Rattus norvegicus: one gene and its partners. The protein of the gene in region 2 purifies or fractionates together with the protein of the main gene of each other region. This does not show direct contact. Links are inferred from orthologs where the notes say so. Each region holds a gene or a part of one and is shown on either strand. Other genes may lie near its edges.

What was found.
Region 1: the proteins of Arpc5 (region 2) and Arpc1a fractionate together in Homo sapiens (co-fractionation; 8 studies listed by BioGRID and IntAct, counting the BioPlex papers as one, with this or other methods). This does not show direct contact. The link is inferred for Rattus norvegicus from reciprocal best matches to the Homo sapiens genes ARPC5 and ARPC1A.
Region 3: the proteins of Arpc5 (region 2) and Actr3b purify together in Homo sapiens (affinity purification with mass spectrometry; 5 studies listed by BioGRID and IntAct, counting the BioPlex papers as one, with this or other methods). This does not show direct contact. The link is inferred for Rattus norvegicus from reciprocal best matches to the Homo sapiens genes ARPC5 and ACTR3B.

The regions. Positions count from the first base shown.
Region 1 is NC_086030.1:14,633,258-14,643,521, reverse strand, and holds the start of Arpc1a (actin-related protein 2/3 complex subunit 1A), read left to right. Parts: upstream 1-4,469; 5' UTR 4,470-4,588; intron 4,589-9,680; 5' UTR 9,681-9,710; coding exon 9,711-9,774; intron 9,775-10,167; coding exon 10,168-10,264. UniProt on the Homo sapiens protein: Probably functions as a component of the Arp2/3 complex which is involved in regulation of actin polymerization and together with an activating nucleation-promoting factor (NPF) mediates the formation of branched actin networks.
Region 2 is NC_086031.1:67,454,428-67,463,939, reverse strand, and holds the end of Arpc5 (actin-related protein 2/3 complex subunit 5), read right to left. Parts: 5' UTR 9,500-9,512; coding exon 9,357-9,499; intron 7,232-9,356; coding exon 7,159-7,231; intron 4,802-7,158; coding exon 4,625-4,801; intron 1,948-4,624; coding exon 1,885-1,947; 3' UTR 652-1,884; downstream 1-651. UniProt on the Homo sapiens protein: Component of the Arp2/3 complex, a multiprotein complex that mediates actin polymerization upon stimulation by nucleation-promoting factor (NPF).
Region 3 is NC_086022.1:9,993,000-10,002,660, forward strand, and holds the end of Actr3b (actin-related protein 3B), read right to left. Parts: intron 4,735-9,661; coding exon 4,609-4,734; intron 4,010-4,608; coding exon 3,926-4,009; intron 3,430-3,925; coding exon 3,334-3,429; 3' UTR 3,156-3,333; downstream 1-3,155. UniProt on the Homo sapiens protein: Plays a role in the organization of the actin cytoskeleton.

The DNA of each region.
Region 1 (10,264 bases), on a different chromosome or scaffold from region 2:
CTTTCTGACATCCTGTCAACATCAGTCGATTCCCTGACCACACGAATACTGTGTCCTTGGCCTGTGCAAATGTTTCTTACTTCCCCCTCCCTCTGTTACACCTGTTATGGTATAAATTCAGCCTTGGGGAAAAATAAAATTGTTGCCTTGATCAGACTCTTATCTTGGTGTCCTTCTTCGTGTCTCTTGTCCCCCATTCTCTTCCAGGTACCCTCAGCCCACCTTGTTGACACTTAACCACTAGGCCATCTTTCTGGTCCCAGCATTCTGCATTTCTAAGTGTCAGTGCTTTAAGTGGGGTGCTGAATATCCCCCAAAGGCCCGTGTATAGAAGGCTTGGTCCCTAAGGTAGCACAACTGCAAGGTTGTGCTACCCTCGGGAGTCAGAACCTAGTGAGAGCTTGCCCCATCGGGTCACAAACTCCGAAGAGCATCGTGGTACCCTGCTCTCTTCTACCTTTTTATGTTTGCTCCCCAGCCTTTGAGGCAAGCATTTTGCTTTGCCACATGCTCCATGTCACGTCCGCCACAGACCCAAAGCGATGGGTCTGCCCAATCTCATATGACGTGCATGCAAATGATGTATGTGTATACAGTGTGCCTGTGTGTACGCACATTCGTGTGTGAGAATGTTGGTACACAGGTACTACGGTAAGCTTTTGGAGGTCAGAGGTCAACCTTGGATGTCAGTCCTTGTCTTACACCTCGTAGGGTCTCCTGTTCGTACCTGTGTGCACCAGGCTAGCTGGCCTGTGGGCTTCCTAGGATTTAACCGTGTCCCTCGCCCGTCGAGCCACAGACACAGTAGATATATAGATATGGGCTGCTGTGTCAGCTTCGTGTGGATTCTGGGGATCTGAAGTCCAGTCGTCACAGGTGTATGACAAGTGATTTTCTTTTCTTTTTTTTTTTTCTTTTTTCTTTTTTCTTTTTTTTTTTCTTTTTTCTTTTTCTTTTTCTTTTTTTTTTTTTTGGAGCTGGGGACCGAACCCAGGGCCTTGCACTTCCCAAGCAAGCGCTCTACCGCTGAGCTAAATCCCCAACCCCGACAAGTGATTTTCATATTAGCCATCTCTCCAGCCCAAACTTTTCCCTTTATAAGTTAATGATCTCAAGTACTTTGTAAAAGCTACGAGAGGCCAGTGCACCATCTACCCTGATGACTAATAATTTACAGGCAGACTTCTCCTTTTGGCTACTAAGTCAGCGCTGTTGCAGAAGTCTAAAAAGCAAGCACTGAATAACTCAATACTTACTCTCTTTGGGTCCACCGATTATACCAGGCCACGATGGTCTATTGGGAGAGACCAGAGCAGGACGCTTATTCTTGCTTCCCTACCTTATATCAAGAACTTCACGTCTCAAAACACTTCCGCAGTTTCTGCTGTTGTAGAATAAGGCTGCTTGACTTAGAGAGAGTTGTGGAGACCTGAGAACTCAATGGCCTCAATTGCCCCCCATGAAACATGAAAGCTGTGGGCTTTATTTAGGCTGATGTGCTAAACACTGACGCAAAGGATGGAAAACGCTGGCTGCAGTGCTGTGCAGCTTTATCCCCAGCACTTGGAAGGCAGAATCAGGTGGATCTCTGGGAGTTCTGGGCCAGCCTGGGCTACATTGAAAGTTCCAGACTAGACAGGCAAACTCAATGAGATTTTGTCTCAAAGGGGAAAAAAAAATCACGTTATCTACTAAATGGTTCTTATTTTATGGGTGCTGTTTTGTTTTGCCAACTTGACTGGATTTAGAATCACCTAGCAGACATATCTGGGCATGTCTGAATGTGGAGACACCATCCCGTAGTCGGGGTTCTAAACACTATTTTCTTGTTGCTTTCTTTCCAGCTGTGGGCTGGGTGCAGGGCATATGCCTGTAACCAGCAGCCTCCAGTCTGCCATGTCTTCCCTGGAGTGAGGGACTGCATCCCTTCAAACCAGAAGCCAAAATAAACCCTTCCTTCCCTATGTGGGTTTTGCATGGATTTTTCTCATAACCAAGATAAAGTAACAAACCAACATGGCTAATCTTCGTCATTTACTGTAGACAGTATATTTAAGTATATTTTCATCTATCCAGACTAAACTTCTTGAAAAAAGAAACTGTCTTTTGGGGGCTGGGGATTTAGCTCAGTGGTAGAGCGCTTACCTAGGAAGCGCAAAGCCCTGGGTTCGGTCCCCAGCTCAAAAAAAAAAAAAAAAAAAAAAAAGAAACTGTCTTTTGTAAAGCATTGTAGTCTAAGTAAAACACTGCTGAGCTTTTCCTTGTTTGTTTTTGGCTCTGGGTACCAATTGTATACACGCAGGAAACGGCTCGCTTAACCTACAACCGTAAGGAACCCTTGCTTTCTCTGAATGCTATTTTTCCTCTGTCAAGTTAGGAGGGATATTCAATTTGCAGTTATCTCCCCACTCCATTCCTTTGCTCCCCCATGACAGAACCTGTAGCCGTGGGACAAACTTAAAACATGAGAGCTCTAAGTCAGGAGGACTCTGTGAACCACTGAACTATTTAACTGTGAGTAACACCACATGGGTGTGAAACTGGGAGTTTTGCAGATTCCCCTCTGTAGACAGTGCCTTACAACCAAGGGCTTCTGAACTGAAATTCCCTGAAGTCCCTTCTCTATTTAAGGTCCTGCGGACAACTTGACCTTGCTCAACTAGGATGCAGTGTGAAGAGATCAAATGTGATCGATTCCCAAAGCATCTCAGGGCATCTTGGGCCTTTCAGAAGCCATCTGCTAGCCTTGACTTCCCTTCTGAATCTCCCATTTATACATACATATATATGTATGTATATGTGTGTGTGTGTGTGTGTGTGTGTGTGTGTGTGTGTGTGTGTATGTATATACTGTTGCTGTCTTCAGACACATTAGAAGAGGGCATTGGATCCCATTACAGATGGTTGTGAGCCACCATGTGGTTGCTGGGAATTGAACTCAGGACCTCTGGAAGAGCGATCAGTGCTCTAACTGCTGAACCATCTCTCCAGCCCATTGAGTTTTCCTTTTTGAGACACGATCTCATGTAGTCTAGGCTGCCCTGAAACCCCTATGTAGCCTACGCTGGCTCTGGTCTTCCTCCTCTCTACCTCTGAAGTGCTTGCAATTACAGGCTTGTGGCACTGCCTCAGGTTTATACAGGGCTGGGGAGCTAAGGTTGTGGATGATGTTAGGTAAGCACTGTCAACTGAGCTACATCCCCAGCCATGATCTTTTTTTTTTTTTTTTTCTTTTTTCTTTTTTCTTTTTTTCAGAGCTGGGGACCGAACCCAGGGCCTTGCGCTCGCTAGGCAAGTGCTCTACCGCTGAGCTAAATCCCCAACCCCTCCAGCCATGATCTTTATTTTTACACTTAGCCTAACATTCTCAGACGTGTGTAAAGCCCCTGCTGTGCATGAGCAGACCCCTAGCTTCCACCAACCCTAAAGCTAAGAGTACTCTAACCTAGTTTGAAACCTAAGAAAGATTGACTCTTCTTGCTATAGCCCTCCTACCTGATGTTCCCTATAACTTCGCTATATGTACTGACTTATGGCTTTCTCTTGTCCTGCAACTATAAAAGTTCACCAAAGGGGTTGGGGATTTAGCTCAGTGGTAGAGTGCTTGCCTAGCAAGTGCAAGGCCCTGGGTTCGGTCCCCAGCTCTGAAAAAAAATAAAAAAAAAGAAATTGCATCTACATAGCAAACACTCTTCCCATATTTCCACTGCACCTCCTTGCAGTGTCACTGTGGGTGTAGAAACAAGTGCTCCTGATCTAGGAGCGGTCAAAGGCACTCTTGGGTAGACATGAGACTTTCTACTGAGGGTGCAAGGCACGGACAGCCCTCCAGGCAGAAAGTAGTCTACCTACCAATCCTGACCCACCCTCTACGAAGGTGCATACGTAGTTGCAAGGGAAAGAACACAAACCTAGTTGCAAGGGCTGGCTAGATAGCTCAGTTTAAAAGACTGTGCTGTTCTTGCCAAGGACCTGAGTTCAGGTACCACATGGGGTAGCTTACGGTTCTAGCTCCAAGAGGATCTGTTGTTCTCTTCTAGCCTCCGGGGCACCTGCACTCACATGCACATACCAACACAGACATCCACATGAATATTTTTTAAATTTTTGGAATTGTTCTTCAGAACCAGGAAGCCTGAGAGAGCCTGTCTCAGTGATTTATGACAAAAAAACACTTGAGACTGCACACTTTATGACACTGCACACTTGGGCCATGGCTCAGGAGTGTGTGTGTGTGTGTGTGTGTGTGTGTGTGTGTGTGTGTGTGTGTGCTTAAGTCTCTTTAAAGAAAGGAGCAGGACTCCTATCCAGTTCCATAAGCACGCCCTAGCGCTGACTAGCGGCTGCCTCATCTGAGCAACCGCAGCCATTCAGACAGAGCACCCCAAAGAGGGCTATGTTCTGCGCCTGCGCCCGGCGGGCAGCCGAAAGAGGCTGCTCTGCGCAGGCGCCCTGACCACTTCCGGGATCTGTCAGCCGCTCCCTCTAGGCCTCCCTCCTCCGTCCGCGCCCGCCGGAGCCTGTTCGCGTCGACTGACCAGAGTCCGCGAATCGTTCGCTCCGGACCTCCCGACCTCCCCTACCCCAGGTAAGGAGCTGCAGGGCCGAGAGTCTGGTCCGGGTCGCCTCCATTTCTTGTATGTTCTATGGCACGCGGGGGCGGCGGGCCCAGGTCGGTTAGGCGCGGGGTCTTGAGTTGAGGGGGCCGGGATCTCCGTTCTTCGTGGTTACCCCTGAGTCCCTGATCCCCACCTCCACCCTACCCCCCAACACACACAGACACAGACCGAGCGTTCCTGAGCACTTTCCAGCTGCCCTCCGTCTCGGATGGGAGAAGGAACAGCTTGGCCTCCGACACCCCCACAGTTCCATTTGCACCCCTACTGTGAGCGTTTACCACAATCTGTAAAATTAGTTTAGACGGGCCGATCTCCCCCGATGGCTTGTCACGATGGCTTGTTCATCTCTTCAACGTCTAGGATGTTGCCTAGAGCAGCCTCCGATCCATCAGTTATTGGGGAACCCTCCCCAGCAAGAGAAAACCCATCTTTCGAGTAGCCTTAAGATTCCTTTGCTCCAGCCCCCGCCCCAAGTCAAAGTTGTACTCTCCTCTTCATTCCGATTCATAGGGTCCTTTATGTAGAACCGCCGGAGTTCCCATTTGACTCTGCCATTTGTCAGGTGTCTCTGGAAAGGTTGTTTCTTGATGCCTCAGTTTCCCCAGCTGCAGTAAGAAGATTCTTAGTCCGCTTGGTTTTATTGGGTTCATGTGGAGTTCATTTGCTTGAGTTGCTTACAGTAATTCCTAACCCAGAGTAGCTGATCTAAAATAAGTAACAGCCGTTACTAGTGCCTTCATTTCCTTTCTGCTCTTTCCTCCGGAGAAGGACTTGAGGACTAGGTTTTATTTATGTTTCTGGCCCCATTCAGATACTTAACATTGTTGGGAACTTGGGAAGCACTTAATAAATTGCACCTTAGAATCTCTGAGTATAAAACCATCTGTTGTCGTGGTGCGACTTGGGAGGCTCCTATCTCCTCCTTGCCCAGTTTTCTGAAATGACCTAGTTTGGCATCCTATCTTATCAGTGTCACGTAATCTTTTGGTTTCCATGTAGGCCTTAGGATTTCAGATCTCTAGAAGTTATCAGTTCGGGGTGCTGTCTGGGGGCGTGGGGCTTCTTCAGTTCATCTTCTGTCACAACTGGGGGATCCTTCTGGAAATTGCAGACTCCTATGGAGGATGGGTGGCAGTGTTTTGATCTAAATTATCTAGCGTTAGGTCAAAATAAGTTCTCTATAGGAAGTGTGGAGATGGTCTGATGAAGCTGGAATTTAGAATGAAGCATTGGTAGGGTGTGGTAACCTTGTTGGAGCTCTTGTTGGTATCGCTGGGTTGGGTAACGAGAGCAATTAGTAACTAGATGAATCACAGATTTGAAAATGACCCTAACAGGGAATGGAAGTTCTAACTTAACATGAATTTGTCAAGTTCTAGTGGAATGGAGCCAAGACATCAACATAGGTAGACGTGTCCAAGTTCAGAGGATCCTTCTAGGGCTGGTCCAAAGCTTTGTGCCAGAGACTAATTTACTGGGCTTGCAAGATGGCTCTGCCATTAAAGGCTAGACTTACAGAAAACTAACTTATTGGGGTCCGGTCTGGGGTGCTTTTATGTGCTATCTCACTTAACCTTCCTGACAGTTGTCTTGTAATGTCATTTGGAGATGAAATGAAAAACGTCCCAGCGTCTCATGATGTATGTGTTAAAACGAAGATTCAAACTCAGGTCCCCTTGTCTCCAGATGCCATGGCTAACCAGATAGTAAAATGACTCCACTCGAAGGCTGGGAACGTGGCTGAGTTGGTGGAGCCCTTGCCCTGGTGTGCATAGTGTGCGGGTTGGCTCCCCAGCAGGGCAGGAAGAAAAGACTGTGCTAAGTGAAAACCGAAGAGAGTAGGAGCCCATGGAGTCACCTCTTTTTCAGTCCTTTTCATCCCTCAGTGCTGGACAGCGGCAACAGAAGCCTGGGTTTTTGGTCGTTGGTTATGTTTGAGACAGATTCTTAATTGTATATAGTCCTGGTTGGCCTGGAACTCACAGAGATCCTTCTGCCTCTGCCTCCTGAGTGCCCAGAAAACTTATTGTTCACATAATCACCTAGAGTGTTCCCCTTTCTCCTTTTGAGCCTTGTTAAGATTTTCAAACACTGCTTAAATATCACCTGCTGTTTAGTGATTTTAAATTATCACCATATGAATAAAGGTTCGTTTTGCTTGGTACAAAATTGTGGCTTAAAATAGCCAAATGACTATAAAGGAAGGACATGTCTGAATGTATGTTCAATTATAAGACTTGACTGAAAGAACAAAATTAGAAATGCAGTTGTAGAAGTAATTCTGCTGTTCTTTAGGAAGTGCGTCCTTAGAAACCCCGAGTGAGAGAATGAGAAGTCTATCTGGAGGTGTGACTCTCAGCTCTTCATGAACTAGGTGTCCTCTTTGCATGTGGATAACCAAGGCACTAGCTTACAAACCAGCTTTGTTCCCTTAAAAAGCAAGTCCATCAGCTTTGGGGTCTAAGCTGCATTGTTCACAGTTAGTAATATTTGTAACAATCCATTCTTTTAAGGTTTATCTGTGTGTGTACGTTGCCATGTGTGTGGTTGCCATGTGTGTGGTTGCCATGTGTGTGGTTGCCATGTGTGTGTCTGTATGTGACTGCCATGTGTGTGGTTGCCATGTGTGTGTTGCCATGTGTGTGGTTGCCATTTGTGTGGTTGCCATGTGTGTGTCCGTGTGTGTGGTTGCCATGTGTGTGTTGCCATGTGTATGGTTGCCTGCAGAGAGCTGTCAGGCTCTTTGGAGCTGGAAACACACAGAGCTACTTGACCTGGTGCTGGGAACTGAACTCTGCTCCTCTAGGAGAGGAGCAGGTGCTGCTGACCCCTGAACTTACTTCTCTTTGACCATGGCTTCCTTTATAGAGTGTTTCTTTTCTGTGCCACAGGCACTCACTTTTGTTTATGGAGTTTGCCTGTTGTTTGCCTCACAACTTTCTAATGTCTCTTCCATTCATTCTCTGCTAGTGTCGAATCCCTATCTCACTGGGCATGGAAACACATGGCCTGCGGTCAGGACGCTAAGGCAGAAGTATTGTTAATTGGAAACCAGCCTGGGCTACATATAAAGACTGTCTCAAAGGAAAAGACATTAATTACAGCATTCAGTAGGCAAGGGCAGGTGGATCTCTGTTTGAGCCAGCCTGGTCCACATAGTAAGTTCCAGGCGGCCAAGGCTGTAAGTGAGAAGAAAGGACATTTATCCCAAACAGATCATCACTTTTCCCCTAACGGCTAAGACTTGTTCTTACCTAAGGCAAACCATTATCATAGCTAGGATGAAGATAATTTCATGCTCTTATATAATAATCAAATTCAAATTTGTTATACAACACATGTCTTTTATGGTTATTTTTAAACATACTAATTAGAATCAACCATCTTTTATGAAATTTGATTTTCTTAGCTCTTTTGAAATCTAGAACAGATTCTTCCCTCTACCTCCCAAGTGCTGGGATCTAAGCTGTTTGCTGCCATACCTATCCATACTGCCTTTTAAAGAAGTCCAGGCAAGCTGTTTTCTAGAGGGCACCTCTGGGCTTTTCGAGAGAGACAGAGAATGAGCAAGTGTGAGGTGTGTTTATGTGTGTGCTTGTGCTCACATGAGAACTGTGTGTTTGTGGTGTGCGTCCATGGGAATGGGCCATGGCATGTGCAGATGTCAAAGGACGCCTCCCTCCCGTGTCAGTCCTCACCTTCTACCTTGTTTGAAACAGAGACCCTTCCGTTGCACACTACAGTGTGCCCTGAGGCCCTCCTGAGGGTCTCCTGTCTCCACCTTCTAGCTCCCTGTAGGATCACTGGGACCACAGAGGCTCTCGCTGCTGTTTCCAGCTGTCCTCAGGGTCTGGGGGACCAGAGCTCAGGCCATCTGGCTTGCACAGCAAGTGCTTTAACTGCTCAGCATATCTGAGGAGCGACATCAGTGTCGACTTCTGGTGTTGCTTTCTGCTTTACCTCCTGTAAGCTGAAAGGGAGATCCAGGCCTCGATTGCATTTAGAGTAAATATGTTTGGCAGGTGTGCTTCATAACTGGGTTGATCATCTTCCAAGGTTTATCTAGGATGGCCTATAACTTCCTGTTAGACTGACTGACTAACTGACTTTCTTTCAAGGCAGAGTCTACTCCATAGTCCAGGATGACCTGGAACTCTCCCAGAGTTCCTCTGGCCTCTGCCTATTGAGTGCTGAGATGCACTTGGTCAGATTGACTTTTATTCTAAAGTGACCTGTAGGAATGTCCTGGGGCGTGTCCTTGTGAGTGCAGGTGCTGTGGGGCTGGAGTTACAGTGGCTGTGACAGTCACTGTGGGTGCCAAGACTTACCCAGGTCCTCAGTGGTAGCACTAACTGCTGGGCCACCTCTTCATCCTCTCTTCAGTGGGGATTAACCTGGGGCCTTCCACATGCTGGCAAGCACTCTCCCATTGAGCTGTATCCCCAGGTCTTCCTGCCTTGAGTTTCCGTTTTGTTTTTACAAGTATCCTGCTGCGGATGATGAATTAAATCATTGTTTTCAAATTATGATATGCTGGTCACGTCCCCCTGGGACTGTGGGTTTAGATCTCTCTGCTCCCGTTTGTAGCTACAGGTTTGGTTACTTGGTCAAGGTGATGCCTATCAGACTTCTTTATAGTGAAAGCATGTTTTCCTTCTCATAACTTAGCAAGTCCTGTGTGGAGTTGTAGTTTGAGGCTGAATACCTACTCCATCAGTCTGTGATTTGAGAGTCAGTTGGTGACCCTTCAGAGTAGATTCCATACTGGTGGTTACTGTGCTCTAGTCCTTGTTACGGAATTGTTTTTTGTTTTGTTTTTTTTTCTTTTTCTTTTTCTTTTTTCGGAGCAGGGGACCAAACCCAGGGCCTTGCGCTTGCTAGGCAAGCGCTCTACCACTGAGCTAAATCCCCAACCCCACGGAATTGATTTTTGTATTGCAAGTGAGTCTTCTTACTGGGAGATCAATGTTGTGTTTATCCCCAAATAGGCGAGTCCTTCTGATAACTTGAACTCTTAGTGCATGACATTTTGAGTGTTTTCTTTCCTATTGCTCGTTACAGCTTTCTGACCTGTGAAAACACGTAGGAATCATGTCTCTGCATCAGTTTCTGCTAGAGCCAATCACCTGCCATGCCTGGAACAGGGATCGGACCCGTAAGTGTGCTTTGAATTTCCTGATGCTTCTCTGTGGAATGGGCTTGTATAGAGGCCAGAGAGCCATGTCAAGTGTCTTCCTTAATTATTTGAGACAGGGCCTCTCAGTGAGCTTGGAATATTTCAGTTTGGCTAGGCTGCTCTGCCAGTGGCCAGTGAGCTGCAGGTGTCCTCCATCTTGGCCCCACCCCACCCCAGTGCTGAGGTTATGGGCATATGCCGCCACGCCGGAGTTTACATGGGTTTGGGGGGTTCCACTCAGGTCCTCCTATTTACGTGGCCAGCATATTACCAGCTGAGCTATAGCCAGCAGTTACAATTCTCAAACTCCAGAGCTGCAAGTAACATCAGGGATGGCACGCTGTTAACAGTTGTGCTGCCTGCCTTCCTCAGAGATCGCACTGAGCCCCAATAATCATGAAGTGCACATCTACAAGAAGAATGGGAGTCAGTGGACGAAAGCTCACGAGCTGAAGGAACATAACGGACA
Region 2 (9,512 bases):
GTCAGAGTACCTGGGCGGTCTGTCAATCACCATGGCCTAGCCAGACACATTTGTTAAGCCCATTGTCTCCGGCTGGCACCCACCCTGGCTCAGTTCCTGTGCTGTGCTGCTTGTCTATTTTCACTCTCTACTCAGCAGAGCTGACGGATCTTACTGTATCCGTTCCTGTGAATCTAAAATACCGATTCCAGCATTTGTCCTGAGACTTCAGGTCACAAAGGCAGTTAAGCATGCTCCCTGTTTCTAAGGTGGTGGTTGTGCTAACCTGCTTGACAACCTCCACTAGGAACTGCTTAGCCTCACTTAAGCCACGGTCCTAACCTGAGTAAAGCAGGGGTCAGCCAGGCGCAGTTGGACAGCAAAGCTGCTGAGTAGACAGGTGTGAGGTAGGTCTGGGGTCTAACCAGGGAGAGTTTGGAAGTCGGGAGTGTCCTTGCCAGCTACAGGAATCAGGCCCTGCAGGTCGCTGGTACATCCTGCTGCGACCCAGAGGGCTCTGGAGTCACAGAAAGCACCTCAGCAGTGCTGACATCCGTAGTGGCTCTTCTCCACCTGTGCCCATTAGTGACGTTATCCATCCTCCATACAGACAGCGGCACTGGAGCAGTCCCTTAACTAACGAGATTTCAAGTACTCAAGTAAGAACAAAAATTATTCAATACTGACATTTTATTTTCTGAAGTTTATCATAATTTTACAAAACAGAACAAAACAAAAAGCAGGTATCAAAAACAGCAGTTTATAGTTTCTGTGCTGGTTCTCACCTCAGTCAGCGACTCTGGAATTGGCATCTTAGGAAGACAACCGGGCTGCTTCCCTCTTGGCCACAGGCATTCGGGTGGTTGGTTTCAGAACTACTTTGTAATAACTTTTTACAAGCACCGGTCATTTTTGAGAACCAATTTGGTTTGTCCGACAAAGTAGACACCTTTCTTTTACTATGCGGCATTTTCCTTTCTTATAAAACACTGAGCTGAAACACACACTATGTATTTGGATCAGAACCACATTTTCTGAGATCCCCATTACCTGAAGAACACTGAGGACACCATTGGGCGTGTGAAATGTTACAGTGAACCCTTGTGTAAATGTCTAAGGCAGCTACCTTATTTCTGATGAAAGCATTCATTCAGAAGCTGCTGGAGTCCATTCTCCCACTTGGGATAGCTTCCCCAGGCAGCCTTATTATCAGAAGGAAATGGGATGTTTGTGCCAAAGAGGCGCTTATATTGTGTAAATACATTTATATAGAGCAAGACTTCTTGCTCTGGACCCTGGGTCACCACAAAGAGATTGAGAGGCCATGATAATTGGATGCTAACAGGAAGTACACACTTCCACTCATAGCATCATCTGGAGGCAAGCAGAAAGAAAGCTGGAAAGTGGTAGTGGGGTTCACCCACTCCTTGCTCTGGAAACACATTTTATAAGGGAAGTGTGGTCCAGTTTTGCAATGTTACTAGCTGCCAGTCTCTCGTTTTTAAAAATAAAGATCACTTCCTGACCAGCAATGAGTTAGGAAACTGGCCTCGAATTTGATCACATCTCTCAGTATTGGTTAAAAATAAAGTAAAACCCTTAAACCAGTCAACAGAGTTAGAAATTGCACAAACTTGAATATAAATTACAGAATGGGATACACATTATTGACATGGTTATGAAAGGATCAAACACCCCACTGAGACAAAATTTTCTCCACATTATTTCAATTTTCATTAAAGGAAACTGATATGTAATTTTCTTCTTTATAGATATGAAAAAGGAAGCAAGAAGGCAAAGCTGAGAGAAACAGATGCTACCCATGGGGCAGCGGTGCCATTTGGTTGTTTTGGTCTTTGTACCAGCAACTCCCACTCCTCTGAACACTGTCCAGTTCCAGCTGGACTACACGGTTTTTCTTGCAGTCAAAACACGAACGATAGACCCTACTCCTCCAGCAGCAAGTGCCTAAAACAAACCAAATACACAGGAAACGTCAAAAGTCTAAGATCAGGCAAAACACTGAACTCATAAACTTGGTAAGTACTTCCTGAGCACCTATTATGCCCCAGGCAGGTGTCAGCATGATACTAATGACAGTCTTATTACTAGGAGAAAACAAAAACAAAGACCAACCTCTCAGGGTTCCTGCCCTTGGGAAGTTACTTCCAATCAGACACTAGTCACTATTCTAGTATACTATGCCTAAATAATGCTTAAGATGTCTGTAGCACTGTTTCTGACTAGAACAAGTTTCAAATATAAATTCATTTCTCCATCTCCCATCCTCATTGAGGTTGGGAAGAACCTGAGATTGGGACAAGTTATCCCAACTTCCACTTGGTTTGCAGATTTCCTCCCTACGGCAAGAAGATATTACTTAAGAGCTAAGAGCTGATCTCTAACTTGGAATCTGACTGGAATAACTGGGAGTCATGATTAAATACCAGCAATTAGAAATTTTGGTATACTTATTTGGACAACTGTACAACACTTATACGAGAACAACATTTCCCTATTCTGTATGAAGTGCCGTGACTTATCTTAGAGAGCTACAGAAGCAGAGTAAGGGCATATACCTAGGACAGTAAGAAATGTCAGGGAGGCTGACAGCCTGAGGCCAGAAAACAGTTTGGAGGTGTGAGGGTGGGGTGTATCAGGGAAAGGCTGGAGCTTAAGGGAAGAGTGAAATGGGTCATCAACAAACGACAAGATACTTTGGATTTTAGATCTCATTCCAGTGGTTGAGTAGAAAACAGAATGGAGCAAGTAGCAGCCGCCAGGAGATGCTGTGAGGTGCACCAGAGACTGGCACAGATGGACTTGAGGACACTCAGAAAGTCAACCCTGGAGACTTTGGAAAAACCAACAACACGTGTACTACTCCTCTCACCTACAAGGGTTTTTCCTTCTAGTAACTTGTGAAGATTACATGAGTTGACATATTTATAAAGTTCTCAGATGTGTTTGGATTATAACAAGCTCCCAACTGATGTCACTGTGGTCCTGAGGCTATTCTAGACCTACGTTAGTTTGGGTCTTAGAGGCGGCAACTGCAAACTGAAGATAAGAAAGTCATGTGTACCTAGGTGGTAGTGGTGGTGGTGGAGCACACCTTTAATCCCAGCACCCAGGAGACAGAAGCAGATGGCTCTGAGTTCAAGGCCAGCCTGTCTACAGAGTGAATTCCGGGATAGCCAAGACTACACACAGAGCACCTGTTTTGACCTCCCCCCAGACCCTCCCCCGAAAAAAAATCCCAAAGAACAGAAGACATGTACACACCTCACAGAGCTAGTGAGGAGTAAGTGAAACGTAAACAAGGGTGGAGCCCAGCCAACAGTGTCCAAAGTAAGATGACCATACCAATAACTCCACAGGTTCCCTTCAGTGAGAGGGGGCGCTATACTGGAATACTGCAAGGAACACTATTCATAAATACTAGCTCTTTGGTAGTATATGTAAGATAAGGTGATTTAACTAAGGCTCAACAACAAAATTTACTTTTAGTTTTATCTTGTAAACGTTTCCACTCAGACTCAAGAGAAGGGTTTTAGAAAGAACTGACTTTCGGGAGCTGAAGGAGATGGCTCAGCACATTAAAAGTGCTAACTAACTCACAGAATTCAGTCCCCACAATGTACATGAAAGAGTCATACACACATATAATGGTTAGCATCTGGAATCCCAGTCCTTCTATGGCTATGGAATTGTTTATATTTTATCAGTACAAGAGCTAGGTATGAAAGCTCTTAAAAAATTAAAAAATATATTTGTCTTGTGTACACTTGTGTGGGTACAGTGAGTGTGTGTGTGTGTGTGTGTGTGTGTGTGTGTGTGTGTGTGTGTATGTGTGTGTGTATATAGGTAGTCAGTTCTTTTTGTCCATCATGTGGGTCCCAGAGACTGATTCAGGTTGTCAGGCTTGCTGGCAGGAAATTCTACTCAACTGAGTCACCTGGTTCACCCATTTAATAAATTCTTATATAGAAGTAAAAATAATTTGATTTCTCTCCCTCCCCAAGACCCAGCCTCCCAATATAGCATATAATTCATTATGTAGACAAGGTTGGCCTGGGATACCTCTCCCTAGAGACGTTCACTACCATATATGGCCAATAACAATTTCTGAAATACAAAACAAAACTAGTGCTGGGATCTATCCTTGGGAATACAGGCAAGCACTCCTTCTCCACGGTGCTTGGAGACTCCTAGTAACGTTCTATCCCTCTGAGTTTGCCTATTTCAGATCATTTCACGTAAGTACAAATACAGAATACTTATTCTTTTGTGTCTGGCTTACTTCACTTAGTGCAGTATCTTCTAGGTTTGTCGATATTGTAGCATGGATGAGTAACAGCCCATGGTTTGTAGGTACCACAGATTAGCCCTTCATCTTGGGTTATTTCTATCCTTCAATTAGTGTGAAAGAACTCACACTTTAAGTATAAAATCACTTATGCACTAAATACACGCAAATAAAATGCAATGCAAATGGGAGTCTTAAGATCAAGGCCCATAAGCAAGTGTAAACTTGTCACTTTAATAAAGATGTACAATCGAGTCACTGCTTTTCAGGTGACAGAGGTTATTCTTCTCCACTTCAAAGGAGCCAGTTGTAGGGTCTGTTAGTTTATTAACTTACCTTTTCATGCCACTGTAGTAACATAGCGCTGCTATTGTCAGACGGGCTCTCAAAGCCTTTATAAATATACTTCATTAGGAGGTCCACGCCATTCTTGTCCAGAGACTGAACAGCCTTTTCAATATCATTAGCTTTAAAGGAGATGAGCACCTTCAAGACGATGCTGCCTGCCCGGTCCTGAGGTAAATATATAACAGAATATTTAGACATGTGTATGCCGGGAACACAATTTTAAAAGGGCCACGCTAGAGTGAATTTGAAGGATGATCTGGAGGATGTAAAAGAAGATGCTGTGGGAACACGGCCAGCGTGTGGATGAAAGAACAAGTGCTGTTAGCGTGGGTTTCAGTGTTCAGAGTGTTCCGAAGGCTCTGATGTGACAGAGCTGGGTGGTGGGAGAAGCGGGAGCGAAGTGAGAAGACAGACCATGTGAGGGACAGCTGGCCACCGTAATGGCTCAGGCTTTTACTGGGAAACGAGAGAGTGGAGAGCTTCTAGAGCACCGACCCAATCTGTTTCCCATTTTAAGACTACCTGGCATCTCTGTAGAGAACAGCAGTGAGGCAGGAGTAAGGCAAAGGCAGGACGCCCACGGGTGTGATTCCAACAACACTGGACGCCCACGGGTGTGATTCCAACAACACTGGACACCCACTGGGGTGATTCCAACAACACTGGACACCCACTGGGGTGATTCCAACAACACTGCCTGGTTCTGGTTGGCATGAGAGTTGAGGTGGGAAGAAGGGAACCCCTTCTCTTGGTTTGTTTGTTGTTTTAGAGACTTGGTTTCTCTCTGTAGCTGTGGCTGTTGTCCTCTGTAGAACAGGGTGGTCTGGAGCTCACAGAGATCTGCCTGTTTCTGCCTCCTGAGTTGTGGGATTAAAGGTGTGCACCACCACGGTCAACTTAGGAGCACATTTTTGATAGAACTGAAGGTAGAACTGGGGATTTACTAATAGACTGATGGGAAATTTTAACAATTTATTATAACATTTACATTTTACTTCTTGGTCTTAAAAAAACTCCTAACCAAAGAAGAAAACTGATTTATATAACTCTATCTTGCACTATCTTTCAAGAATGGTTATTTTCTTAAAAGATCCTTTTAAAAACCATTAAAAAAGAACTTTTTAAAGTTTCCTATCCACAGACATTAGGTTCCAGAAGCAAAGGCACCTCCTTACGCATCACCTAAGCAGAGGGAACACGTGAACAACCCTTTCAGCTGCTCACTGCTCCTTCTGCTCAACACAGAGGTGCTGCCGTCATTCCTACGGGTGGGATTTTACAGAATGTTTATACCAGAATGTTCTCTTCAGCTTAGAGATGGTCTAATTCCCTATATATCTTTGTAACTAGAGCTATAACCTCCTACACACAAGCTGTCAAAACACAAAACAAAAAACCAAAACCAACAAACAAACAAAAACCATATGAAAACAGAAGGGGTAAAACTGAAAATTTAATGAGGTTCCTAACAACTTTTAAAAAGCAAAGAAAAATTCCTATACAAAGTTCTGTGCCTTCAATAGTTATCATGCATTTACATATAATTCTTAAGTTCTTGGGTTCCTGAGATGCAGGCTTCAGACCACAGGGCTTTGTTACCTGTATAGCAAGAAACAGCTAAGCAGTTCCCTGAGAATCAGTGGAGGACTGATACAGAGATGTAAGCTACGAAGTTCTTCTGAGGGACTTGGCAATGCTTTATGGATCAAAAGCCTTTAAAAAAAAAAGTCAGTTTTGATCTAGCATTTATCTTCTGGGAATTTTATTGACATAAACAATTAAAATATAAAATTATTCATTTAGCAGGAAAAACTAGAAAACCTAATATACAGTAAAAGGGATCAGTTGCATATACGATGTCATATACTGGTGTACAGCAGTTAGAATGCCACGGAAATAATCTTATTGCTAAGGAAAGATCATGTACGTTACTATGCAGCTCAAGTGTAAGATTCTATTAATTTTTTAAAAGAACACAAACCCTGGTAGAAACCCCTCAGTGTGCAGCAATACCATATAAGGCAGTAGCTGTGACCCGAGGAAGTAGCACGGAAACCACCTTTTTATGCGCTCATGCCTTTGATTCTGATATTTCATATTTACATAATTAAGAAAAACTTAGGGAATTAAGAGGCAGCTGAGTGTTTTTTGAACCTGTTTGAATTCAACTCGAGCAGATTGCTCCTTAAGCACACACAGAGCTGGTGTCCCCACCCTTTCTGTTTACTGTGCTCCACGCGTCCTAACCACATGTCAGCCCTATTTTCCATGACCGTTCTACTTAGCAGGGGCTTCCTTTCGGGCTGGATGTGGTGGTGCATGCCTTTAATCCCAGTGGAGGCGGGAGATCTCTGCAAGTTTCAGGCCAGGTTATAGACTCAGGTCCAGTCTCAAAACAAAAGTCACACTGTAAACCCTCGTGTCAAGCACAGTAAATAGTTAAAATGGTCATTGAAGGTAGGTGTCAGAGGACTTTGATAATAGCGAAGCAGAAGGGATTAACGCTGTAGTTTACCACTCACCTTCACTGCCTGGCTCTTTGTGTTAATGGGGGGGTTTTTCAGAGCGGCCTGTAGGGCAGCGGTCATGTTTCCTGTAGTGAAGGTTAAGGGCATAACAGAAAGGGCAGCCCCGGGGTTGGGGATTTAGCTCAGTGGTAGAGCGCTTGCCTAGGAAGTGCAAGGCCCTGAGTTCGGTCCCCAGCTCCGAAAAAAAGAACCAAAAAAAAGGCAGCCCCACTTTATGGGACTGGTGGGTTAGACTTGACTTTGTGAACAGTAACAAAAACTACTATGGTCATTAACTGTATGGGTTTCTTTCCAATATGTCAACCAAAGGTTAAAATAATGAAATTAAAAGAATATGATTTTTTTTTTTTGGTTCTTTTTTTCGGAGCTGGGGACCGAACCCAGGGCCTTGCGCTTAAGAATATGATTTTTTTTAAAAGCAAAGATTGTTCTGACCTGTTCTGTCAACCAAAGAGATTACACTTTCCAGGGAAATACACACAATTGTCTAGACAGGTATTCAAGAAGTCTTAGAATATGCCTAAGAATTAAGCCATCGAATGATGCAGTTTACCAACAAAGTATTCCATCCTGTCTGCGTGATTCTTACTGGAAAACAAGCCTAAACTTGATACTGAAACTACACTGTGTATTAACTGAGGTGCTGGCAGATTACTCTGGCAATCAGAGTGGGACAGGCCGTGATAGCTGCATATTGATGAACAGGGCTCCAGATGATGTAATAACCCACACGACCTGTAGGTGGCAGCTTACTTTATTTCCTACAGGTTATTCAAACTGGGCTGGACCCTCCATACCTACTTCGTACTGAAAGCACTAATGAGTTAGCAAGCACGGGAAACGGAAGGCCAATCAGACTGTCAGAAAAGACAGTCATTTCCCTAAAAGGAGAACCAGAGTCACTTGTTCCTCCATCTGTAGTACCCAACCGGGGCTGCCGCTCCTAGTTATAACCAGAGACAGTACCTTTATATTTGGATAAGATGGATTGATGAAAAGGTAGACTGAATTAATAATGGATACAGTCATAATAATCACCAGAAATTACCTAAAATACATTAGTTTAATAAAATATCATATCCACCATAAAGATTTCTTTAAACGAAGAATAAACTCACCACTTCTGTGGAAAAGGTCTAATAAAAATTATCTACAGTTAGTGATAAACTACTGTCAAGCCTGCATAGTCTCTTAAAGAACACTTTTTAAAGAAAAAAATCCCAAGTATTTTAATAAATAAATTAGTAGCAACCAATGTGGAAGTAGTGGTAATGAAAGTTAAACGTATATGGCACATATATGTATATATTCGATGCTGTGGTTACCACTAAATATTTCTGCTTACTTCTTCATCATAATCTAGTAGAAAATCGATGAGGGAGATATGTATCTACAGACTTAATGAATACGAGTTTTCTAAAGCTCCAATTTGGGGTTTTGTGACATTTCTATTTTTCTAAGGGATCAATGCAAATGATTTTCAAGGTTATGAATATTCAGATATGCAAACCAAGGAACCAGGAACTGACAGCCATATTTTAACTAGCCTGGAAACAATTTCAGAAAAACGATTTTGATTTATAGAAGTGACTCATTCTCTGCTTTATTCACTGGGGTTCATCTTAAATTATTCCCAGGGATTCTCTACATGCATTCCCTATCCTTTTCCTAGTAGCCTTTTCTTAGCAGGTGAAAGGCTCAAAGCCTTACCTGGGAATTTTGGATTAGAAAACTCCCTTCAGCCTGTTCATAAATTATATGCAACCTTGCCCAAACCCTCTTCTTTTAATAAATAACACTGCTGATGGAAAAAGCTCATGGGCTGAATGTACGGAGGGCCTCAATTTGTTCCATCTCTCCTGGCTAGAATAAACTATGCCCGCTCCGCAAATCACACACACCCGACAGAATAGCAAGACTCCAGGCGGGACCCGTGTCCCCACCGGGCAGGAATTTTTGGAGCTCAGGTGCCCACTAGGGCGTCATCCGGTGCCCCCCCGAGAGGGTGCGGCCGCTTAGGACAGCGCACCTGAGGAATCGGGGCGCCGGCAAGTTCGCAGGCGCGGCCGCGGGGTGCAGGCGGCCTGATAGCCCCGGGACCTCCTGCCCTCCGTCCCCACCTAGAGCCGGGCACAGCTGGCCGCGTGTCCCCGTGTCCCCGCAACCCCAGGCCGCCGCGAGCGTAAGGATATTGCCGTAGGCATGAGTCCACCTCGCCCTCGTCGGGCCCGGCCTGGCCATCGCCGCCGTCCTCCTCGTCCACGAACTTGTTCTCATCATATTCGTCCACGTCCACCTTCCGGAAGCGGGCCGACGACACCGTGTTCTTCGACATCCCGGATCGCGAT
Region 3 (9,661 bases), on a different chromosome or scaffold from region 2:
TCCTGTTGCAGTGGAACATCCTGCTTTCTATATGTTATATCTAAAATAAAATGATCTCTGGGCTGGGAAGGAGGTTCAGTTGGTGCCTGACACACAAGCCTAAGGGTCTGAGTTTGGTACCAATGTAAAAAGTCAAGACACAGTGGCACATGGCTAGAACCCCAGCATGGAGAGGGAGTAGGGCAGAGATAGGAGGTCACTGGCCAGCCAGTCTAGCCATATTAGTAAGCTACAGGTTTATGGAGAAACTTTGTCTCAAAAACTAAAGAGTGATTGAGAAAAACATCCAACACTGACCTCTAACCTCCATAGGCACGAACACATACATGTGCACTTACACATACACCACACACACATGTACACACACTTAATTTAAAAAATAAATAAATAAAAGGCTTTCAAAAACAATCTTGTGGCAAAGAGATCAAGGAAGCTTTAAACATTCTGGGTCTGAGACCAGGTTACACTGGCTCTAGTTTGGCGAACATGGGTGCCAACATTGACATACAGAAGTAATCTTATACTAGAAGCTTGGAGAAGGTGTACCTTGCAGCAGTAAGCAAAGTAAAGAAAATCAGTCATTGTGGGAACCTTCCTCATGTAGTGGGCCATGCTGTCAGCATGGTAGAATGGTGTTTTACATCCTATCATGTCTGCACAGTTTCCACATGTGTAGTCAACAGTCTGTTACAAAGCTGGCTTTGGATTAGATGATTCTGTCCATGCATGACTATGATGGGTACACCGTGTACATACATACATATATATATATATATATATATATATATATATATATATATATATACACACACACACACACACACACCCATACACATACAAACATAAACATACACACACAGTGTGTGTGTGCATGTGTGTGTGTGGGTGTGTATGTACACATATACAGTGTGTATGTTGTTTTACTTTGTTTTTTTTAAGATTTATTCATTTATTATATATAAGTACACTGTAGCTATCTTCAGATACACCAGAAGAGGGCATCGGATCTCTCTTTACAGATGTTTGTGAGCCACCATGTGGTTGCTGGGAATTGAACTCAGGACCTCTGGAAGAGTAGTCGGGTGCTCTTAACCACTGAGCCATCTCTCCAGCCCCTTTACTTTGCTTTTAACTTTGGGGAACGTTTCACTAGTAGTGTACATGTGTATGCACATTAGCATATGTATCACAGCACATAGGTAGAAGTCAGAGGACCTCGGGGACTCAGTTCTCTTCCTGCACTAGGGGTCCTAGAGATCAGACTCAGGTTATTGGGCTTGTACAATACAGTTTTTACTCAATGAGCCATCTCAAACACCAAGTGTATCCCTGGCTGACATAAAACCCACTGTTAGGCCAGGTGGACGTTAAACTTATAGTGAACCTCCTCCCTCTGCCTGGTAAATGCTGAGACTATAAGAAGACAAGTGTTACCACGCCATGTATGTGTGTTCGCTTGTGCACACATGCAGAGACTCAAAAGCACATTGCCAAGCCAAGTGAATGAAGTGTATATTCATGTAATAAGTATTCGTTAAGTATTTAATAATTATAAAGTTCATTTTAGAGTAAGAATAGTCAATCTACAATAAAAATTACATGAGGGGCCAGTAAGACGGCTCAACCAGTCAAGGCACATGTGAGCCAGGAGACATGATTCAATCCCTGGACCCCATGAAGGTGAAAGGAGAGAACTGACTCTGGGAAGTTGTCCTCTGACCTTCACATGGGAACCTTGGCTCTTGCACTCACACATATACATACCACACATGCTTGAGCATGTGCACACACACACCACATACACATGCATATACACACTATGCACACATGTACACACATATACATACCACACACACATATACAGGCCACACATGTGCACACACACACACACCACATACACATGCATATACACACTATGCACACATGTACACACATATACACACACCACACACACACACATATACAGGCCACACACTAATAGGTTTTTTTTTTAACAGTTTTTTAACAGTTTTTTACAGTTCCCTGGATGTAGTCTCCCTGCTTACCGGAATCTTCCACTGACTATTCTCAGATTGAAGATGGCTGTGAATAACTGAAGTGAAGAATCAAATGTGGAAATAAAAGCAACCCTCAAAGCTCAAACTTGTTCCCAAATTAAATAACAAAACCAAACTGTTACAAATGGAGTTTTCTGAGAGTAAAACGTGCCTCACAACTCGGAGGATTAGAACAACAATTTTTAAAGTACCAAGGGTTCTAGGAGAAGGGAGAGCTTCAGATCTACTGACCTACACCTGAGTGAGGGGTCACTCAGCAGACGTCAGCACTGAAAGCTTTCCTAACAGGGGAGCCTGGACACCCTAAGGATGTACCCACCCCCTCCAAGACAAAACAGGTTATCCACCCAGTCTTGGGTAACATCAATTTTAACACACACGCACACACACACACACACACAGGTGCACACGCACGCATGCATGCACACAGTATCAGTCATCTATCATCTGCAAACCTGTGGAGTCCAAGGTTCTCAAGAGACACCACAAGGAACAGTTGTAAAGATTCTAGCAGCTTTTATTACAACAGTGCAATAGTATTTCATCCCACACTCAACAACATAAACCATCATCTTCTATAAAGCAGCTTCAGGAAGTTCAGATCCATCTGTAGCAACTCCCACCCAGTCCTGGTGAGTGCCCAGATGTCACACCACCCCACCAACATGTGATCACTGCCCAGCAGACATGTGGCATTGGGCCTGCTGTTTTACTTGCCTGTACAGACATCAGAGCATGCCTCACAATTAAGCACTTTATTACAGAACTCTGTGACATCCATGAACTCTGTGACTACTCATGCTTAATATTAGCCGGTTATACCAAATGCCATAAAATACAAAATGATAGGAAATATAAACATCAATTTGTATTTCAAGTTTATAACATTTTATTTACAAAAATAGGCTGGGAAGGCCAGGGTTCCTCCACCCTTCAGTCTGTCCCGGAGAAACCACTTGCATCACGTGTTCCTCTGGTAGTTTCTAAGGTTGCAATGGACTCCTTCAGAGCTATGCTCGCCTAGAAGCTCAGGTGGAAAGGAGAGAGAGTGGGAGGGGCAGGAGGGGAGGGGGATGGGAGGAGGACCACGAACAGTCGCACCGGATAAATGGCTTTACTGGGAAGACTGTGCCCGGCCCCGAGCACCGGCCATGAAATCACGCTGCTCACACACTGATTCCACACTGCTATGTACAGGAGCCAAGGCTGCTCTGGGTTCTGAAGGACACTTATTCCCCAACAGGACACTGTCAAGACAATGGCTCTGAGGCAGACACTAGGACATGACTCCGAAGACGGGGTTGTGGCGGCAGATGCTGGGGCCGTATTCCTCATAGTCCTTCTTGGTGTGGCAGACCTGAAAGAACTCCGGCTGCAGGAGAAGCAGCCAGCGGAAGGAAGATGATGAGCAGGGGAAGAGGCTATCCTTATCCCCAGGTCCCCCTGCCAAGCACTGTTCTAAACCTGGTGACAAACCAGGCAGAAGTTTATTTCGCTTTTTAAAATTCACTCAGCAATTTCCAACATTGGAAAGCAACAATAAACTTACTCAGTTTCCCTTACTGGGTTCAAATATGTGTCAATGTGAACTAAAAATAACTGCCAACAACATTGAGGGGGAAATAAATAAATAAATAAATAAATAAATAAATAAATAACCAACCAACCAACAACTTGGAAAGGACAATGAGTAGGGTGTGTGTTAACGAGACATACAATTTAAATGGTAGCTAAAACATTTTTACATCAAACAGAATTCATTTTGCCTATTGAAGGCCATGCAAACAGAACAGATGCTGTTTCGTGTTTGTATCCAAACTCCATAGGGAAGCAGGAAGGACAACAGAGCAGTCGAGAAAGGGACTCACAGTCGAGGCGAGCATAGAGCCTCCAAACCAGACGGCGTAGCGCTGCATGTGGTGTGTGATCACCTGCACCTCCACAGGCTTAGGCTGCAAAGGCAAGCAACCGCGTTTAGTCTGCACAGTACATCCTTCCACCAGTGTGACCATGACGGACCCTGAGCTCCTCCAGTGACGGCCTCAGCCGCACCGCACTGTCAGCCCAGGAGATTCAGGGGAGGACGTGCTCGTGCCTAGCTGAGGCCCCCTCTTCCAGTACTGAAACACATCACTAACCTAGCATTAATCAAACAAATCATTGGGCTTAGCAAGGTCAATAACAAAGTGAACCCCCAAACACTAAAACAAAACAAACATTGTAACGGGCACCTCACTGCACTGGGCTCTCTGCTCCCTCTTCCCTACCAAATCCCACCTCAGGGAGAAGCCCATGCAGCACCGGGCAGCTCAGAGCTGTGGCCTTGGAGAAGCACAGCCTGGTTCCCTGCACACACAGGTTATTCCCTCACCATTGTCTCTGCAGCACCCTGGTCACACACACTGATGCCTCATCTTGCAAAAGAGAGTCTGAGTGGTCTTAAGGACGTCTCCCTTTGGACGTGTGAATTTGGGCATCACACCTCACTGCCTGCCCCCCCCCACACACACACACTGACATGGCGGACAGCAGCCTGCACACAGCCTCCTACCTTTATCCTGCCCCCGCTGAGCTCTTGGCTCAGCTTTAACCTGGCGTCCACCACTCTCTTCAAATCTCTCTGCAGACGGCGTCCAAAATCTCTGAACATTGTGGAGCCTCCAGAGAGAACGATGTTCTGAAAGACCAAAGTGGACAGTGAGCCGCCTCGGGTGACACCAAGCTGTCTGTGATGGTCTCATCACTGCCCCACAGCAGGGCTGCTGGGTAAGCAGCACACTGACGCAGACGCAGACACTAACTGAGGCATGAACGCCTGCCGTCGGGAGCTGAAGGCAGACTGCTGCTGGACCGCCTGCATTCCGACGGCAGTACAACTGCAGGGGCATGGAGAGGTCGGGATGCTGCAGCTCCAGAGGCAAGCTGCCTACCTCAGGCTAGCTTTAGTCCTGGGTTAACCATTCCTTGTCCACCCCTGTGCCAGAACAAACATCCTGTGACTGATGTATAAAAGTAAGGTATTAGCTTAGAAGATCCCTAGTTTCCACCAAACCAAAAGCTAACTAAGGCAGTTAGCAAATAGCATCTGCCTACAGAAACGCAGACGCCCATCCTGCTGTATCCACCTCCCTTATGTGCCCACCAGTGTAGTTTAAACTTTTTTTGATCTACAACTTTCTTTGATCTGTAAAACTCTGAAATTGCTTCCACATTGGAGCATGGAACCTGGGGTAGCCTCAATCTGCATTTCCGGGCCTTGGTGCTGTAAAGTCCTCTCCAGAGTAAGTCCTGATTTCCTTTAACAGTGAGAGCTGTCCCTTTTCATCTGCAGGGAGAATCAGACACAGCCTGGCTGCAGAATCTTCCTGAGAAACTTTCATCCTTCCTCAGAGAAAAGGGGCTATAAAAAGGCACTCTTGCCTCATAGGCTGATTCTCCTCAGAGCTCTGCCATGCTGTCTGTCTGTCTGTCTATGTCACCAGGGCCTGAACTCCCCAGAGTTTCCAACATGTCTATTACCCACAGCATTAATAACTGACTTCCTTGAATCCCTCACCTGAGACCTTACTTAGCCAAAAGGCATGGGTTATATTTTTTTCTTGTGACGGCTTGCCACCAATCATTCCCCTGGTACTTCCTTCACCGTAAGCAATTGAAAGCACAAAGCAGCGTGTGCCCGAGCTCCCCCTGCCCTGGGGCAGAACCCTGACAAGAGCCAAGACGACAGAAAAGCCACATTCACTGACAGGCAGGTTCCACACAAATCACTAACATGGATCTTCAATTCTTTTTGCCATAATAGCCAACAGGGCAACAGGGCCTTCCGCTCACACTGGAACCCCTTCAGAGCAGCAGTGTGGAAAAGAGGCACACTCAAATCACCCGGGGAACATTTTCAAATGCGTCCTCCCTCTGCCCACAGCCCCACGAATGCGCCAGCCTCTATCATGTGACTGCACCAGCCGTCTGGTGGGTGAGGCGGGGTGAGAATCATTAAACTGGCTGGCTGGTACCATGAAAGCTAACAGTTCCATTCTCTCAGGCTACAGAATATTACTTAGGACAACGAAAGTGAAATTGCCCTCATTTAACTTTCTGACAGAAAATATCATTTGAGAAAACTATAAAGAAAATAAAAACCATCCTTCACGGAACCACAAGTCCCCACACTTGCCTTCCTGGATGCCTTGTGTAGCTGCAGGGCCTGCAGTCAGGCACTCCCTCAGCCAGCCCATCCCTCACAAGTTTATGGGAAAGAGATCCATACAGACCCAGGCCAGACAGCCCAGGTTATGATGGATCCGTTCTGTTCACTGCTGCTTGCTACCAGTGAGAGATGGCCAAGCCGAGGGCCACAGTGGCAGCGGTGAGATCTGCAGGGCAGGCAATGGAGACAAAGGCAGAAGTGCAGAGCCCTGTAAAGCCACCTCAGATCTAGGCTTTTGCCTTGGCACATACTCCTGTTCCAATGTGAGTTTAGGTAGACATTTCACCTCTAATACCCTGCCCATAGCATTAGGAAAGCCTACAAGAAGCCTGCACTGCTTCAGGAGCTAGGCTGAGGACCTGCAGGGACACTTTGCCAGGCCACAACAGGGCTGAGCCATGGGCCATGGGAAACCACAGCTGGGCAGCCACTGTGATCTCCAGTCAGATGTCTGAGAGGTCCTGAAGGGAGCTTGTAGGCCAGATGTGAAACACTGAGGCAAACCTTCTGCAGCTCCCTAGTAGAGAAAAGTTCAGGCTGTCAGCTCTTGTTCAGGGGCTAATAGCAGGAGGGACCCTGAGGGACACTGACATTGTGCAGAGGAGGGACCCTGCCTCAGGCTTCACAGCTCCAAACCTGTCTTCTGGGCACTGTGAAGCTGCCACACGTGCTCCCAGGTGAAAACGTAACTTTGCTTTCTCTTCCGTGGGGGGCGGGGGTGGGGGTGGGTCGTTTGTGGATGCAAGTGTGGGTGTGTCAGGGTCAGAGGGCAACCTCAGGGGGTTGCTCCTGACCTTCCCCTTTGCCCCTTGCTGACCCCCAGGATGGCTGTCCCGTGACCTTCTGGGGAGTCTCCTGTCTCTGCCTCCCACCTCATCCTAGGAGACTAGGATCACAGATACAGACTACCCTCTAACCTGGATTACTCACACACCGAGCCTCCTCCCCAGCCCAGCTTTTCACTTTTTTACATGTTTAAAACAAGCACAGTTCAATGAACACAACATCTAGAATGATAGAAAGCTCTTATCTTAAAATGTGATTTTTACATTTTTTAAACTTTTTCAAAATCATAGACTCCTTTAAGAATTTTTAGATTTAGAGGTATGAAGCCCTTCCTCAAGCCACAGAGTGCTCTCATTTTGGTCCAGGGTCTGCCCAATGCCACTTTAGGTGTTTGGTGGTACATAGAGTGTAGTGCCTTTCCCCAATGATGGTGCTAGCTAAGGGAAGAGGCTGTCACAGTGCTCCCCTGCCTGTCACAGTGCTCCCCTGCCTGTCACGGTGCTCCCCTGCCTGTCACGGTGCTCCCCTGCCTGTCACGGTGCTCCCCTGCCTGTCACGGTGCTCCCCTGCCTGTCACGGTGCTCCCCTGCCTGTCACGGTGCTCCCCTGCCTGTCACGGTGCTCCCCTGCCTGTTATAGTGCTGCCCTGGTTATCACCATACTCCCTTGACTGTCACAGTTCTCCCCTGGCTGTCACAATGCTCCCCTGCATGTCACAATGCTCCCCTGCCTGTCACGGTGCTCCCCTGCCTGTCACGGTGCTCCCCTGCCTGTCACGGTGCTCCCCTGCCTGTCACGGTGCTCCCCTGCCTGTTATAGTGCTGCCCTGGTTATCACCATACTCCCTTGACTGTCACAGTTCTCCCCTGGCTGTCACAATGCTCCCCTGCCTGTCACAGTGCTCCCCTGCCTGTCACGGTGCTCCCCTGGATGACACAGTGCTCCCCTGTCTGTCACAGTGCTCCACTGGCTATCACAGTGCTCCCCTGCCTGTCACAGGACTCCCCTGTCACAGTGCTCCCCTGGATGACACAGTGCTCCCCTGCCTGTCACGGTGCTCCCCTGGATGACACAGTGCTCCCCTGTCTGTCACAGTGCTCCACTGGCTATCACAGTGCTCCCCTGCCTGTCACAGGACTCCCCTGGATGACACAGTGCTCCCCTGCCTGTCACAGTGCTCCCCTGTCTGTCACGGTGCTCCCATGACTGTCACAGTGCTCCCCTGCCTGTCACGATGCTCCCCTGGATGACACAGTGCTCCCCTGGATGACACAGTAACAGACATAAAAGTCATTAAGGACATCTAGTTGCACAAAGTACATCGTGTGCAAACATTATGGCCGTGGGGAAACCTAGGGAAATGAAGTCCCTGAAAGCAGCAAGGGTAGGGTGGCAATGGCAATGGGTCACCTGAAGAGTGCCACATTTTTAGAGCCCACTGGTTGTCCTTACTCCCTGAGTCCTCCTAGTTTCCCACCCTGTGAGCAGTTTCCTAGATCTGGAAGCCCACGGGCTTGTTTGTGCGTTGACTTTGTTGAGGCAGAAAATCGATCAAACACAGAATGGGACTTAAAATGCACTTCAGTTCACACAGAAGATCTTGTGCAATAGCTGAACTGAATGGCGATTCTGTCTTCCTCACAAAAGATCGCTGTGGCAGTGGGGAGTCGTGCATATGGCCTGGCAATCATCTCAATAGTTCATTTCCATCACACTAGCGATCCAAAAGACACTGATCATTAGAAATCTGCAGTGGCTCCAACATAACTCTGGCTTCAGAGACAGACAGCCCTGCAGGACACCATCACAGTGGCACCCGCATGCCGAGAGTGGCACCCGCATGCCGAGAGTGGCACCCGCATGCCGAGAGTGGCACCCGCATGCCGAGAGTGACACCCGCATGCCGAGAGTGGCACCCGCATGCCGAGAGTGGCACCCGCATGCCGAGAGTGACACCCGCATGCCGAGAGTGGCACCCGCATGCCGAGAGTGGCACCCGCATGCCGAGAGTGACACCCGCATGCCGAGAGTGGCACCCGCATGCCGAGAGTGGCACCCGCATGCCGAGAGTGGCCGTGTCTTTTCACAGGAATGTCACTCAGGGTAAAGAGCCTAGAATGTACACAGCCCCAGAGGTCAACCCCAGCAACAGCAGCAAATCCTGTTCACTTAAGTCTGTTAACAGATGTTTTAGTGTATTTAAACTCTATTACATAGAAAGGGGCAAATCGTAAGCAAGGAGTTAATGCGATGACCCCTGTGGGGTGATGTCACAGGTGAGGCAGGTATAAGAGAGAACGAGGCCTGTCATTGGGCGAGAAGGAAGGATGGGCGGGAGAGAAGTTTGGAGGAAGAGGAGGAGGGGAGAGGAGCCAGGGACAGCATGGAGGCTGACGTTAAGAGTCCACGCTTTACCTTCACAGGTTGTTATGAATGTTCTTTGCATGTTTAGGTGGGCAATTATATCTTATCAATTGGATCAAAGGTTTTTGTGTTGTGTGTTCTTTCATGTAGCGATTTAAGAGTAAGAAAATATGCAGCGGCTACAGACACTGGGCCGCCGTGGAGTCGGAATGTGTGTTTCTGGCATGGAAACCTGCCTTGGGAACTG